Linked DNA regions of Lytechinus pictus. The protein of the gene in region 2 interacts with the protein of the main gene of each other region in a pairwise test. Links are inferred from orthologs where the notes say so. Each region holds a gene or a part of one and is shown on either strand. Other genes may lie near its edges. The genes, in order: axin interactor, dorsalization-associated protein-like; PIN2/TERF1-interacting telomerase inhibitor 1-like.

Region 1 (3,930 bases), on a different chromosome or scaffold from region 2:
TGGCGAATGAGTTGACAACTGGCAATTCATAATGTGTAGTCTAAGTTGTAGGAAAAGTCCACCCCACCAAAAGTTAATTTGAGTAAACAGAAATATCCAACAAGTGTGACACTGAAAATTTCATCGAAATTGGATATAAAATAAGAAATTTACGACATTTTAAAGTGTCACCTAGTTTCACAAAACAGTTATATGCACATCCTGGTCGGTATGCAAATGAGGGGACTGATGACATAATTCACTCCCTATTTCTTTTGTAGTTTATTATATGAAATAAGCATTTTAATTTTCTCCTCTTTGTCCTGTGAAACAAAGTTTTATTCCTCCCTGAACACGTGGAATTACCATTTTACGGTTCAGTAAAGTTGGTCCTTATTGTCAAATCTGTAAAAATTTAAATATGTTGAATTCAAACAATAAAAGACAAAATAAATTGTGAATGAGGGGCATCATTGTCTGTCTCATTTGCATGTCACTGAGTAGTGCATATCCTTGTTTTGTGACAGTTCTAAATGTCATAACTTTCTTATTTTACATCCGATTTTGATGGAATTTTCAGGGTTATGCTCGTTGGATTTTTCTCTATTTATTCATATCAGCAATTTTCTGAAGTGGACTTGACCTTTAACCTTGGCTATCAGAATACCACATTTTCCTTTACAATACAACTATCCCTATTTCCGCTGTGGAATTTACTTAGCTCGATTTTCCTGTTTCCACTTTTATTCATACAGGAAAGGGGGAAAGGACAGATAAAAAAAAGGACTTGAGAAAATATTGAAAGTGAGTGTTATGTGGGTGTGTGGGATGTGTGAGTGAGATAGCAAGTGAAATGAGAGAGAGAGAGAGCAGGACCTGGATAGGGAGAGGGAGAGGGGATACAGAAAGTGTGTGTGTGTGTGTGGAGGGAGAGGGCGAGAAGAAGAGAGAGGAGAAAGAATGCGTGTGGGTGTGTGTGTATGTGAAGGGAGGGAGAGAGTGAGAGTGACTGAGGGGAGGGAGGGAGAGGGACAAATTTAAAAGTACAGTCAGAAATGTTTTGTCCAACCTCTCATTGAACCTACCAACGGTTGGTTAAAACAAAATCGCATCCCATAATGAATTGGAATTATTGAAAAAAACAGTTGATCGTTTGATACTTTAACCAACTTTTGGGTTGATTAAAACAATTTCTGAGAGTATTAAGAATAAACATAGAGAGCATCACGTCATTAGTTTTGTCATAAATTATCTCCCTTCACATATCCCTGATTATCATCATTAAATTATAGTAGAGTCTTAACGCTACAATCATCAGATCATTCTGCAAATAATACAGATTCAAAATTTTATGAAAACCGAGACTCGGCAAAGTTATCAATTTCCATTGCTAATTTATTTGTGTAGTCTATCTAAGATCATTAGGGGAAGAATAAACATCAGATTTCTAATAATAATAATATATGTGATTTGTAATGCGCCAAATCCACTCGGCAGAGTGCCCAAGGCGCAGTGAAAGAAGAGAGAAAGAACGAAAGAGAAAAAGTACAAATACAATGGTAATAGATTCAGGAACAATTAAGAGTAAGAGGCATTGAATAGACGAGTCTTAAGGTATGTGTCAATGGACGTGCATTCACGGATTGTCAGGGGAAGATCATTCCAGAGAATAGGGCCAGCGTGAGCAAAAGCCCGAACCCCTCATGTCTTAAAGGAGAAATATATTGATTATGAATATGGCCTTATTATATATCAGTGGAAAGGTAATGATGTGTGGATTACCATTAGGTCATTAAAAAATAACGAAAATAATACATAAGGTGGAAATCGCCGATTAAAAAGCGCTAAAATGCCTCTCCGAAATATGCCTCGCATCGGTCTCTGAATTGACTCGAATTTGATGACGTCACTGTCTGTACGAGAGGCGTGATTGGCTCTCCCACGTCAAGCTCCACTTGCATGCAAAACCTGTTGCGAGGGTACGTTTTCTCCACACTGACACTGAATACTCCCAATACTTCGATCATGAAATGAAAGAAAACCCAGAAATTTATCTAGATTTGGATTTTCAAATTGATGATTATGAAGATGAAGAGAATGATGATAAAGTTTCTAATTCTAGAAAAACAAAGTGACGTGGATGGTGGTAAATTAAGGGAATTACGCCGGTGATGATGAGTAAGACAATTCAACTTGCAAGCCGATTCGCTACCAACGTACGTATGCAGCTGCATGCTAGCTGCACCGCGGGACCGCGGGTCAAATCCATGAAAATGAATTCCATGCAGCATGACCACATCCAGACAGAGTCTCTTTCCTCTATCAACAACATAATGAGAAGGAAAATAATAAAATAACTGTACTTACAAATAAGTGAATATATCCGAACCTAGGCTGAAGGTAAATCAACTCAAGGAATAGAAGCAGACGATATGCACCGACGATGAATTTCACGTGGCTGGAATAGATGTTCACTCGTTCTGTTAGATAAAATTTATATCTCATTATTTTGACTAAATTACGAAATTCGGAGAATTAGTATTCTACATAAAAATTAAGTAACACCTGGTACTATTTTTTGAATTACGATAAAATATTTTTGAAGCAAAGAAATTGAGGTAAATTAAAATAAGATATAAAGGATCATCCACTTAGCCGCATGCGATTGTAAACAAACAATCAAAAGCACATGGCCAGCTTGCTCCACTGAACTGAAAATACGTATTTTCAGTTCAGTGGCTTGCTCGCCCATAGAGTTGGAGCGTAGCTTTATCCAACTCTATGTGCTCGCCTTGCTGATTGTTTACAATCGAATGCGAGCTAGGCGGATGATCTTTTATATCTAATTTTAATTTACCTCATTTTCTTTGCTTCAAAAAGGTTTTATCGTAATTCAAAAAATAGTACCAGGTGTTACTTAATTTTTATGTAGAATACTAATTCTCCGAGTTTCGTAATTTAGTCAAAATAATTAGATAGAAATTTTATCTAACAGAACGAGTGACAATCTCCCAGCCACGTGAAATTCATCGTCGGTGCATATCGTCTGCTGTTATTCCTTGAGTTGATTTACCTTCAGCCTAGGTTCGGATATATTCACTTGTTTGTAAGTACAGTTATATCATTATTTTCATTCTCATTATGTTGTTGATAGAAGAAAGAGACTCTGTCTGGATGTGGTCGTGATGGAATTCATTTTCATGGATTTGACCCGCGGAGCAGCTATCAGCTGCATGTGTTGGTAGCGAATCGGCATATGCAAGTTGAATTGTCCGACTCATAATCACCGGCGTAATTCCCCTAATGTATACCTCTATCCACGTCACTTTGTTTTTCTAGAGCTAGAAACTTCATCATCATTCTCTTCATCTTAATTCATAATCATCAATTTGAAAATCCAAATCTAGATAAAATTCTGGGTTTTCTTTCATTTCGGGCTCAAAGTATTCAGTGACAATGTGGAGAAAACGTACCCTCGCAACAGGTTTTGCATGCAAGTGGAGCTTCACGTTGGAGAGCCAATCACGCCTCTCGTACAGAAAGTGACGTCATAAAAAATCCCCAATTTCGCGGACGTAATTCTGCGTGTTTGAAGCATTCAGAGAGAGAACTTTAAACTATCAATTAACTGAGTTCCATCGGTCTCCATGATAAATGATTTACACCATCGTGTTCTCCTTATTTTCTCCTTTAATTTGATATATGATTCCCCATTTTTACGATTTTCAATATAGTTCTACTTTAACGGATTTAGGAATAACTAGGGAACCAGAGTTGGATGAACGTGTGACCGGGCTGTATTTGCTGATTAGATTAATATTGTACTGTGGAGCAGAGCCATTAATTGCGTGGAAAACAAGGAGAAGGATTTTGAAGATGATGCGATCGTTGACCTTTAACCAATGAAGATATTTTTTAGAATGGGTGTGATGTGAACATACTTTTTAGATA
Region 2 (3,930 bases):
GAACAAAAACAGTGACTTACCTCGGCTGTCGCGCAAATTCACTTCCCCGTTTTATCCGATCTTAAGTACATAAACATATGGCCATTGAGTCCCCTGTACAGATCGCGCTAGAACTTCGGTCTCTGTATTTGGTGAGTGAAGCCAACGGAGTTCAGCTGAACAACCAACATAATAGAGACCGAAGCTTTTGGTCTATGTATCCTATTGCCGGACACCTTTATTTCAGTGCTTTAAAAATGACCACTAGAGGAAATACAATCAAGAAAAAATCGCACTTGCTATTCCAAATATTATGAAAATTATGAATATGGTAAAATTATTTTATATTTACCAACCATTTTCTTTGCATCGCACTTGCCGCATACCCCTCCACGAAAAACAGTTATTTTCGTGCGTGACAAATTACATCATCAGACAGTAGAGGCGCACGGCCAATATGGGAGACTCTCTCCAATAGGGGAGACAATCTCCCACATTGGAGACTTGCTTTGCAAAAGGACAAAAGAAACAACACCAACAAAAGTATGATTTTTTCCACCCAAAATTTTGTCTCACTGAGGTCAGAAGCCCATTTGTTTTGTGTGTGATTGACAACAAAATCCCTTATCAAAATAAAAGTAGACGGTGAATTTTTAAAGTAGACGGTGAAAAGGGGTAATTTTTCATGAGGAATCTGCTTATCACATTTTTATTTGCCGCCAAGGTAATCCTTTTGCAGCAAATGTAAACAAAGGAAATTGGACTCCAAAACTGGAGACTGTCTCTGAAATTGGATACCCAAATTCTTTACAAAAGTCTCTGATATTGGAGATAATCTCCCACATTGGAGACAGTCTCCAATATTGGCCGTGCGCCTCTACTGATCATGATTCCGGACGCGCGCCGGACGGGTAAAGATATTCTTGATTATAATGATGTAAGAACAAATTTGTGTGATTTTTTCTTCTTATATAATATCATGAGTAAATTCTAAGTTTTTGTTTGCTGTTTTTATATCGATTCTGAGCAGATGTTGGTAATAAATTCGTGTTTGATAACTTATTTTATTTTTTCTTGTTAGCTGCATGTTTCATGGAACTTTCCAATATTATGCTCGTTCGTATCGTGACGCTCATCAAGTTCTATCGATGCGCTGCCGATCGTCGACGGCTCTATACTCACGGTGCTCACGGTAAACCTCGCGCACGGGTACCTTGAGAACTAGCCGTCGACGATCACCCACAATACACCACACCTCATCATTCGATCGAAGGAGCGGACGAGATTAATTGAAATTCGGCAGATCAGACCCATATTTCCGTTAGAAAATATATCAATTGTTAATGCAAAACTATGTTATTTGATATTTTAAGCATTTTCTGTCATTTTAGAGATAAATAAGGTAAAAGTTGGATTTTTTTCGCCTTGTTTTTGCAATCCTGTTCTATGTATTGCTCTGTGAAATTGAATTGCGGAAGTCTTACGGTACAAAATTGTTTTCGAATGCAGTAATATGCGCGTCCGGTAATACAATACGTGACTATACATGTAAATACGATAAAATGCGTGTATGTGAACTCGGCTAAGCAGCAGGTAAGCTCCGCTGCCTTCGCGGTGCTGCGTTGGCGGAGCTGAGGCCAAGGCTTGGGCTTGAGCTCAGAGTCAGAGCTCTACATTACATCCCGGAGGGGGCAGTCAAATATAATTGCTGTACACATGCGTGACAAAAAGAAACCGCGTGGAAAAGTGGTGTTTTTTCAGTTTTGGACGTGGGCCGCGCGTGCACTCTTATAAAAAACACAGATTTTCAAGAAAAAGGTAGCCATGCCACTATTATAACCCAGCCCCAGGGAGCCCAGGGGCTTACCGTGTATTTGACCATAGTCACCGGACTAGGGTGATTTATGGTCTAAATATTTCTCCAAATGAATTGTGAAAACAGAAAGTATACAATTAGGCCTACCACGATTATATTGATGAAGGTCTAACGAGTGGCAGTTTCCTGACATCTGCCTGGGCACAGACTGGAACCTCAAAAAACGAAAAGTTCTCTCCTTCTTCCCTGTCTCGATCGGCCATTTTTGTTAAAAATCGTAACAAAATGGCCGATCGAGACTGGGTAGAAGGAGAGAACTTTTCGTTTTTTTGAGGTTCCAGTCTGTGCCCAGATGTCAGGAAACTGCCACTCGTTAGACCTTCATCCATATAATCGTGGTAATTGTATACTTTCTGTTTTCACAATTCATTTAGAGAAATATTTAGACCATAAATCACCCTAGTCCGGTGACTATGGTCAAATACACGGTAAGCCCCTGGGCTCCCGCCCGCGCAGCAGGCGGGAGCTCCCTGGGTTAGTAATAATAGTATTGCCAGCCCATGCAGGCCAGGCAGGAGGAGGCTTTAGAGTTTAGTTCTAGAGAGTAAAAAAAAATTATTTACTAACCTATGCTTACTCTCAACGAAGGTCGAAGCCAGGAATTCCTTCCCATTCATACATGTATCTGCACGTACCGCCCCAACACCTGAAACTTCCCCCCCCCCCAAGATTTCTACTTCTAGAAAAAAGATCTAGCCCTATCATGTACATGGGGTACAACTTCATTTCCGACATTTCTACGCTATCGATTTTATTTTTAAACAAGAATTCATAAAAAAAATGAGAAAAATATGAAAAGACGGAAGAGAATTGCCCAATGTTTACGCCGCCATCTTGTTTCCATGTACAAACATCTTAAAATCAGCAAACTGGATCTGAATACAGAGGTTTAAGCGTGTATGCAAGAGCAGCCACAAGTATCCATTTAAATTACATAAGGACGGTTTCCAATCCTTTTCTTAGGTTTGAATAATTTTTCTAAATGTTTATCTCTCTCTCTCTCCCCTCAATATATCTTTCCCTTTCTCCCCTCCCACTTCTCACCCCACCCCAACCCCCACTCCAAATCTATCTTTGTCCCCTCCCACTTCCCACCCCCACCCTAACCCCTTCTCCCAATATATCTATCCCTCTTTATCTTTCTCCCTTAATTCCCACTTCTTAACATCCCCACCCAACCCCTCTCCCAATCTATCCTTCTTTCTTTTCCCCTCCCATTTCTCTGCACCCAACCCCTCTCCCAATCTTTATCTTTCTCTCTTTTCTCCTCTCTCCCACTTCTCCCCAACCCTACCCCAACCCCTTCTCCCAATCAATCTTTCTTTCTTTCTCTTTCTCCCTTCACACATCTTCCCACCCCACCCTAACCCCATCTCCCAATCTCTTTCTTCCCCTCTCCCACTTCTCTCCACCCCGCTCTTTCCCCCCACCCCCTACTCTCTCTCCATCTCTCTTTATGTTCTGTTCATTCAGATTCCTCCAAGTTTGGTCAGAAGTTGATGGAGAAGATGGGTTGGTCAAAGGGCAAAGGTCTTGGGATCAAAGAGGATGGAAACGTCTCACACGTCAAAGTTTCTCTCAAGAATAACAACTTAGGTGAGTTTGCACTGGCCAGTAGAGGAGAGGGGGTGGTGGGGGGGGGGGAGGGGGGGGGGGGGTATTCAGCTATAATGCTTTACACATGTGTGACCAGGAAAACGAAGTTAATAAATCTAAAAATCATATTAGAAATATATGTCGTGTTAAGGACCTGTGCATTTGTACAACACTATATCATCATCATCATTTTCATTATCATCATAACGTTCATCACTAGCATCATCATTATCATCATCATCATCATCATTAAGATCGTCATAATCATCATTGCCATCATCATTGTCATCATCATCATCACCACCCTTATTATTAACACCATCGTCATCATCATTTCCATCATCATCGTCATCATCATTTCCATCATCATCGTCATCATCATCTTCATCATCATCATTACCACCATCATCATCTTCAGCATTATCATCATCGTCATCACCATCATCATCATCACTATCATCACCATGATCATCATCATC

What was found.
Region 1: the proteins of PIN2/TERF1-interacting telomerase inhibitor 1-like (region 2) and axin interactor, dorsalization-associated protein-like interact in binary tests that used the Homo sapiens proteins (3 or more experiments, as listed by UniProt). The link is inferred for Lytechinus pictus from reciprocal best matches to the Homo sapiens genes PINX1 and AIDA.

What each region holds. Positions count from the first base shown.
Region 1 is NC_087251.1:28,246,722-28,250,651, reverse strand, and holds the start of axin interactor, dorsalization-associated protein-like, read right to left. Parts: upstream 2,462-3,930; 5' UTR 2,347-2,461; intron 1-2,346. UniProt on the Homo sapiens protein: Acts as a ventralizing factor during embryogenesis. Inhibits axin-mediated JNK activation by binding axin and disrupting axin homodimerization. This in turn antagonizes a Wnt/beta-catenin-independent dorsalization pathway activated by AXIN/JNK-signaling.
Region 2 is NC_087250.1:7,514,043-7,517,972, reverse strand, and holds the start of PIN2/TERF1-interacting telomerase inhibitor 1-like, read left to right. Parts: upstream 1-1,518; 5' UTR 1,519-1,572; intron 1,573-3,328; 5' UTR 3,329-3,354; coding exon 3,355-3,451; intron 3,452-3,930. UniProt on the Homo sapiens protein: Microtubule-binding protein essential for faithful chromosome segregation. Mediates TRF1 and TERT accumulation in nucleolus and enhances TRF1 binding to telomeres. Inhibits telomerase activity. May inhibit cell proliferation and act as tumor suppressor.